Linked DNA regions of Mus musculus. The protein of the gene in region 2 purifies or fractionates together with the protein of the main gene of each other region. This does not show direct contact. Links are inferred from orthologs where the notes say so. Each region holds a gene or a part of one and is shown on either strand. Other genes may lie near its edges.

The links.
Region 1: the proteins of Sbf1 (region 2) and Mtmr1 purify together in Homo sapiens (affinity purification with mass spectrometry; 4 studies listed by BioGRID and IntAct, with this or other methods). This does not show direct contact. The link is inferred for Mus musculus from reciprocal best matches to the Homo sapiens genes SBF1 and MTMR1.

The regions. Positions count from the first base shown.
Region 1 is NC_000086.7:71,392,260-71,395,759, reverse strand, and holds part of Mtmr1 (myotubularin-related protein 1), read right to left. Parts: intron 3,245-3,500; coding exon 3,161-3,244; intron 2,465-3,160; coding exon 2,315-2,464; intron 1,484-2,314; coding exon 1,295-1,483; intron 1-1,294. UniProt on the Homo sapiens protein: Lipid phosphatase that specifically dephosphorylates the D-3 position of phosphatidylinositol 3-phosphate, generating phosphatidylinositol. Could also dephosphorylate phosphatidylinositol 3,5-bisphosphate to produce phosphatidylinositol 5-phosphate.
Region 2 is NC_000081.6:89,312,235-89,316,827, forward strand, and holds the start of Sbf1 (myotubularin-related protein 5), read right to left. Parts: upstream 3,078-4,593; 5' UTR 2,883-3,077; coding exon 2,828-2,882; intron 1-2,827. UniProt on the Homo sapiens protein: Acts as an adapter for the phosphatase MTMR2 to regulate MTMR2 catalytic activity and subcellular location. Promotes the exchange of GDP to GTP, converting inactive GDP-bound Rab proteins into their active GTP-bound form.

The DNA.
Region 1 (3,500 bases), on a different chromosome or scaffold from region 2:
AGGAGGAAGAAATATAGAAACACACACAGCTTGAGGAAGCCAAGTGAAATTGAGGTAAATTGCAGGGTGTGGCTACAAGCTCAGGAGTGCTGGCTTGGCCATGAGACTCTAGAGATGATAAAAAGTAGACTCTCTCTTGGAACCTTTAGAAAGAGAACAACTTTATGAGGTTTTTGGATTTGTGATAGTTTAAAGGGCAGCCTCAGGAAACCGCTATCCTCCCTACCCCATTTTTCTCCCATATTAGTAACCAACACCATAACTTAGACTTCAAGTCAGAATCCTGGGTAACATTGCTGACCACAGAAGGGGCTGACTCCGTAGCTTTATGCATGGAGTACTGGGGGTGTAGAGGCCTTCACAGGTACTGTTCTCACTTAGTTCTAATCATCACACAGATGTTGGCACAAAGCACTACTATCATCTCTCATCTTGTGGGTCAGGTTAAATAACTGGTGCAGCAAAACTCAGGGGTATCCAAGTCTAAGCCAAAGGTCTCTCTTAGGTGGATTGGAGTTCACTGAGGTTTTGTGACCCTGGAGACAGCAAAGTAGAGATGTCAAACATAAAATAGGATGGGGATTTGGGCTACCTTCAGGGCTAGAGATACTTCCATGTGTAACTCAGCATAGAAACATTGTTTAAAGTCCTGCCTCTGAGTAGATGACCTTGGGAGATTGTTGTAGAACCAAAAAGGGGACCCCAAACCAAGTTCAAGTAATGCTACCATTGGAAGTTCAGCAAAGAAAGTGGAACCAATGAAAGAGAGCAAGGGCCTGGCTCAATAGTGAGAACAACATGGGGGTTGATGAAAGCCAAGAGGTCATTAATGATGACAGCAAAATTTATATTTCTGCACTTTCATATAACTAAGTGCATTCTAAAAATATATGAAAGTAATACATGAAATATATTTTAAAAGATATGAATTGGTTAAATTATCAGTAAATTTACTAGAGGGACTTCCAAGGGCTTGTGGTTGTTTCACGAAAATAGACATTAATTTATGTAGTTCTCTTTCTAGGAATTTGCTTAATTGAGCCATCAGACTAAACTGTGGAGAAGTAATGAAAAAGGCAAGATTCCAGCAATGTAGGATGGCAAACATTGTCCATAGAATACTAAAGAGGGAGAGATAGCCACACACTACATCAAAGAAACTCAATATTCACATGACAAGGAATTCAATGGCCTGTTCTAAAACTATGAAGACTTATAGAAAGCATGTAAAAACAAACAATGAAGCAAGCAAACAACCAACCCCAAATTTTCTACAAGGCTATTAAACATGTACCTTGTTGGTATCAGCAACGCTGTTTTGTCTGGCATCAAAGATAGTAAGTTTATGTGACTGTGCATTAGCATCCATTATTGTCTGCAGGTATTTCTCATCTTCTTTGCAGCGTTTATCATTGGGACCCACTAATGGCTGGCTGCAACGTGTAATTGTTGCCTGACTTTCTGGGTGAATCCATGACAACACCTAATGTTTTAAAGCAACAAATAATAAATACTTGCTGATAGATATCATTCCTAATATAATATATTATCTAATTAATTGGTTAAAAAGAACAATCTCTCCTAGAGAGTTTCCTCGGTTATGAGTGCATAAGCTAGTCCTGGTACTGTAGTGACTAAGAGAATTAATGTGTTGGTCATGCTGAAAGAATTTGACTAGATACCCTAAAATTCCTTTCTGCCCTTGAAATTCTATCACTCTAAATAAAATAAAACTTAAGTCAAACTATTACTAAAATCTAGTCCCATTTCTATTTGACTGGCTACATTTATATCTTTCTAATATAAAAATTATATCTTTACAATAACATAAAAAGCAGGGTGAGGTCTCTTATTAAAAACAAATCTATAAGTCTATCACCAGATCTCCCATTTTTCTACAGTGGTCCAAGGACACAAAATAATTCAGATGTAAACTCTAAGCAAAAGTTATCCCTTCCTTCTGGGCACAATTATTTTATTCCCATGTAGCTACAAAAATTCACAGAGTGGGAAGAAAGAATGTATCTTCTCCAGAGTGAATGGTGCAACCGATGAGGTGTGGTGCACCAGCACATCCACTCTTGTCATTCCTCTATTCCTCTTGGCTGTACCCTGAGGGCAAACCTTGAGGAACCTTTGCATTTAGAAATAGGACACATACAAGAGACAGATCAAATGAGTGCTTATATAGTGATGTATTTCTTAAGAATCAAAGATATAGTCAGGTTTATAAGCTGATTTTTCTACCTTCCATTTTGTTATCAGATCCAATGTTGTGATTGTTCCTGTCTAAATGACAAAGTTTATTACTCACAGGGACTCTGCCTTTCGCTCGAAAGGCTGCCACTTTTGAAAGGTCATCATCTTTCACACTAGTTGGCACAACAATGATGGCAGGATAGGTATCACAGAACTCATAATTACTGTTTATTTTTGATATTTTCCAACTCTCATTTGGCAAGCCCTGTAGGATGTTAGAGAAGGAAGAAGGGGAAACACTCATCTCTACTTTGACAAAAAAAAACAAAGTATGAATCATGTTTATTAATTTATAACTTGTTTATTGTTATTTAACTAATAGTGCCTCAAATTAAATTAATGGCATTCTGGATTCTTATTCATCAATTCTTTATGAGACCTATGATATAAACATCTGGAAGCAGATAGGGTATGGCTTAGTAAGAGAGTACTTGCCTAGTATGTGCATAATCCTGGGAGTCAGAGTGGAGAAGGAGAGAGGAAAGAAGGTAGGAAAGAAGATGACAGACAGTGGGATAGAAAAGGCATATAAGAAAATAGCAGAAAGGGAGGAAGGAGGAAAATAAATGAGGGAGGAAGGGAGGGAGGAAGGGAGGGAAGAAGGGAGGGAGGAAGGGAGGGAGGAAGGGAGGGAGGGAGGGAGATTTGTTCCTCAGAAATCTGAGTTTCAAATCTTTGTGCACACATCCTACTAATCCCTCTGGAAAATGATGACTAGACAACAATGTAGTCAAAGGCTGGCACAGCAGAAGAGGGCACCCAGGAAATCAGGAACCAACAAGCTTGAAAGCTAGGCCTATGTACAATTTGTTGCACAGCTTCATCTCCACTACTACATATCTAACCTTTTAGTACAGACATTTAAGCTATCATAGTCCATTTGACAAGTGGCATACTCTACCTGTCTCTTATATTCAGACACTGGATCATAAACTTTCCAGCCATTAACTGGAAACTTTTCTTTATAGTTGAATGCAAATAGCACCTGTATACAAAATCCAGAAAATGTATATCAGTATTTATTATCATATAACAGATAGCAAACCTTTGTTTATTCTGTTATCAGTTGAACACGTTAGAACTCCTATTTTAATCTGCACATTGTAAAGTAATAAGTTAGAAACCTTTTCTTTCTTTTTCTTTCTTTCTTTCCTTTCTCTCCTTCTTTCTCTAGCTCTCTTTCTGTCTTTTCTTTTCTACTCTCTCTCTCCTACCCTTTCTCTCTCTCTTTCTCTCTCTCT
Region 2 (4,593 bases):
CAAGGCTGAAAGAGGCCAGGTCATGAAATACAAATAGTTTTCTTGGTTGATGGAGATGTAGCTTTTCCTCACAGGAAGTAGTAGAAGGGTACCTGTCAGGTTTAAGTCATGTAAAGGGTCTGATAATTGGTGTTCCCATTTGAGGACTCCCCAAGCTACAAGCAATTAAGTGACCATGTCTGGGATCTGGGCAGGGGTCTCAAACTATGCTGTCTGGTTCCTCATTCTAAAAAAGGTGTCCAGTTCAGTGACAGGACAAAGCACACAGCCCTACTCACCAGGTGCGGGGTCTATGCTGTGCCATCTACACCCTCTACTTTATAGAGTCTTAAGGGAAAGGGTTACACACAGCTCAGGCATTTATTGTCTGTAGCCTTGCCCACAAGTCACCAACTGTAACCATTAGCAACCAGAATGCTACCTCTCTAAAAAGGCATTCATTACCAAGGTTTGACTCCTAGCAGCTGCAGAGAAAAAGTTCTGATTCAGAACAAAACTGAGATATCCTCTCACGCGTATTCCCTTAATCTAAAGGACCCTGCATCCTAGGTCAGTCAGCACACAGAGGGCCCTTCACCTTCTTCAGAAACACCTACCTAGCGTTCTTACATCGGCTACTCAGATCTGAGATGTAAATTATCTCCTTGGGCCAGTCCTGTGCTATATCTTTACGCATAAGTGTTCCTGACAGCCTCAGAGCAGCTCCATGTGGCCCATTCCATATAAAGACGGGGAAACTGAGGCGAGAGTGCACGGTAACTGGCGCAAGCCAACGGTGAAGAGTGACAAAGGAAGGACAACTAATCTTCAGTGTGCTCCTCAGTTTGGGGTCTTTTGTTCTTGGTACTCACATCCCTTGCCTTATAGATCTGCCTTCAGCCCACACCCAGAAACCCGATTCCAGGCTGGTTCCTCAAAGGAATGCCTTGAAGCCGAGTGGTCAGCCAACAACCAGTCAACTCTGACCCTAGAAGGCAGTGCTTAGAGAGCTCACTGGCCTGCAGTCGCCACAGTGATGGGTAATCTGAGAATTACTCCATCACACCGGTGATTCAGGAAAAGTAGCCACCTCTGGCCTCAGCCTTCTATCCCGTCCTGTACAGAGGTCAGAGGTCCACACCTCTTGTACAGCTGTATCAGTAAGCCCCCACGTGCCACAGCAACTTCCCATGGAGCTACCCACACATCACCCTCAATTTTACTCCACTCCCAGCAGACCTCCCCAACCTGGCCTTTACCTACATTCTGTTTCACAGGACCTTCTTCATAACCTTCTCACCACCATCCAAGTCCATTCCATTCCTCCAGCCCTGGCCCAGCGCCCAGCCCGAGACCCCAGCCAGCCCTCAGCCAGCTTGGTTTCCTCACTCTCCAGCAGTACTCCTCCTCCGTTCCAGAGGAGGCACCTCACTGGCCTTCACTTATGCCTTGGAGCACAGGTTCTCCCTGTGTGTGCCAGTACAACACTGGTGGCAAGCCTCCTGCTCAAGGAGGACAGGGGGATGAACACAATGTGGTCTCTGCCTTTGAGAACTCCCTCTTTGGAGGGAAAGACAGATGCTCGGGACTGAGTGCCAAAAGATATAGACTTGAATACATGAGAGCAGAAAGAAGCGAGGGTACTGAACAGATCTGAAGACAGAGGTGGTGGTGGTGGTGGTGGTGGTGGTGGTGGTGTTTTCCAGTGCATACAGGGTCCATCATGTGGACATTAAACAAAGGAACAGTCCTAGTGGAGACTTAGCAAGAAGAAAGGCAAAGAAGAAAGTTTGGGTCCTGAATGGTGACAGTGACAGCTGGTCTGAGAAGCAGCAGAATAACTGTGTGGAATAGATAACTGGAACACGGTAGGAAGCATTACATCTAGGGATTAAGGGGCTACCTCATCTGGCCACAGTTGTCCCTAAGATACCGCCCCTCTGCAGGTGGACTCTGACAGCCAGAGTACAAGTCCCAGCCTCCATTCCAGACCCACACACTCAACTTCTCTATGCCAGATTCTATGCTGAAGATAGGGCAACAGCAAGGCAATCTCAGTGGGCTATTGGGAGAAATGAGATCATACACACAAAGGGTTGTGCAGGGCCTGGCACACTGAGGACTCCAGCCAACACCCCCCAACACTGTTGTCTCCATGGCTGTGGTTGATGTCACTGTCAGGCTCCGTTTTCTCCTACCCCCAGGACTGAAGGGCTCTCAGACACAGGTGCTGACTCCAGATCAGGGCCTCCTAGATCACCACACTGATCCCCCGCTGAGGGGCCTGGCTTAGAGGCTTGAACACCAGGAATGCTCTCCTCCAAGTGTGACACTTTCGTCTGAAGTCCGGCTCCATACCACCGACGAACCCCTCCCCCTCCACTGCACCCCATCAAGCGGTGCTTGAGGCTTCAGACCTAGCACTGGGTCAGAGAAGCTGGAAGACGAAAACGTTCCGCCCCCCTCTCTGAAATTCCCAGACCCAGCCACCGGCAGGCGGCCAAGGCGGGGTGAGCCCATCCCACCCAACTTGGAATCGGGGAGACCGAACTGCAGCAGGGTCCTCCAGCCTCCCACGCCCGAGCGACACGCCCCTGCCCACCTCGGAACAGCGACGCAGGTGCCCAGGTGTAGGAGGGATGTTTCTTACACAGGCCATGTCGTCCGGGGTCCTCGCGGGTTGCCCCGACGCCACCGTGGCCAATAACTACGGAGGCCTCTTTTCGAGAGCCCCGAGAGCTCGGCCCCAACTCCTGACCCTGCCTCCGGCCGGGTCTTCTTAGCTTCGAGTCCTCAGTCCCAGTCCCTCAGTCCCCCCCAGCTCGTCCCCCTCGGCGCTGAGACTCACCGCGCGGGTGCGGCCCGAACGCCACCAGCACGAAGTAGTCCGCGAGCCGCGCCATGGCAAGGGGCGCAGGCGGGCTCCACGGCTCGAGGGTTCGATGGCGGCGCGCTCATGGCCCGGCGCTGGCCCTAAGCTGCACACTTGGGACACCCCGGGCCCGCTCCTCTGCGGCGCCGCTGACCAGGGCTTCCGCCGCCATCTTCCCAGCCAGCCGGCCCGCCCGGGCGCTTCAGGAGCCTGCGCAGTTCTGCCCCTCCCGTGTAGGCGGGACCTGGCACAGTGCGCTTCCATTGGGCCACTCCGCATGGGGCGGGTCCAGAGGGCGCTGCCCCGCCTACTACCTCATGCTCAAGGACCGGCTCAACCCTTTGGGCGGGTGAAGCTTACGGCGGCCGGGGCGGGTCAGCTACCCTGGTCCCGCGGCCGACATTTCGACCTGAAGCACCACCGGTCAGGATTAGGGCATACTTCCCCGTCGGAACTGAAGCCCCGGAATGAAGGGAGACCTGGACCTCACCCTTGGGAGAGCCTAACTCCGAGGGTCAGGGGCGTGGTCCAGCTCAGTCTGCCTGAAGCAAACCAGTGGAGCTCAGGCCTTGTCCAGCCAGTCTCCCAAACTAGAGGACCGAGCTGGGGGATGGAGGAGTGTCATGGCTTCGCCACTCACCCTGCCAATCTTATGGTGGCCAAGGGAAAGACTTTACAGGCTTTTTTTTTTTAAGTTCCTAGTGCAAAAAGGGGCAGCTAGATATTTCACCATTGGATGGATGGGATATCCAACACCTGCATTTAAAAAAAAAAAAAAAAAAGTTCCAGCTTGAGTCACCTTCCTGCGAAGTTGGATCGCCCTGGAGGTCAGGGGGTTGGCCAGGCCTCTTGCAGTAATACAGGAATGGACACTTGTAGGAGAGGCAAGGTCCTTGACCAGGAGATTAAAGGGGGAGGACTAGGCTTGCTTGTTGATGAGTTTAGTTTTCTGTGAGAACTGAAAGACAAGCCACCTATTAGCATCGTGTTCCCTCCACCTGCAAGATCTGGAGAATGAATGAAAGCAATCTCAGGAGAGACGAGTCCAGTCGTCAGTGTACGTGTATAAAGAGTCTCGGCCCTTGAGAAGCTGAAGCAGGTCGTTCATGAATTCCAGTCCAGTCTCCTTGGCTTCATCAGGAAACCATGTGTCCAAAAAACAGGAGATATAAGGGCCTTTCTGGAGAGATAGTTTAGAGGTTATGGGAATCTGTGCTGGATTTGCAGCACCCTCGCCTGCAATTCTGGGTCCAGGGGGATCTGTCGCCCCCTTCTGGCCTCCGGAACGTGTTTGTGGTGGTGCGTGGACATACATGCAGGGAAAACACCCATACACATAAAGTGAAAATGTCTTTTTTAAGAGAGGGGGATGAGCTTGGTGGTCATGGTGGTGGTGGCAGCGCACGCCTTTAATTAAAGCGCTTGGGAGTCAGAAGCAGATGGAGTTTGAAGCCAGCCTGGTCTACGGAGCTAGTTCCAGAACAGCCAGGAAGCCCTGTCTTGAAAAAAATAAGATAAAATAAAAATAAATAAAAGAGGGGAAGAGGAAAAGACTGTCCTAGGAAAGTTCTGTGCACAGAGACACAAACCTAGCTCTCCTTTGCCAATGCCAGGTGAGCTGCAAAATCTTCCTTTCTGCTTAAAACCTGTGTTTGAACTTGATTGAGTTGGCTGCTTCTGTCAATCAACTAAAACTCGTCTCTATACTCGTAAGAAATGGTGGCAGGGGGCTGGAGAGATGG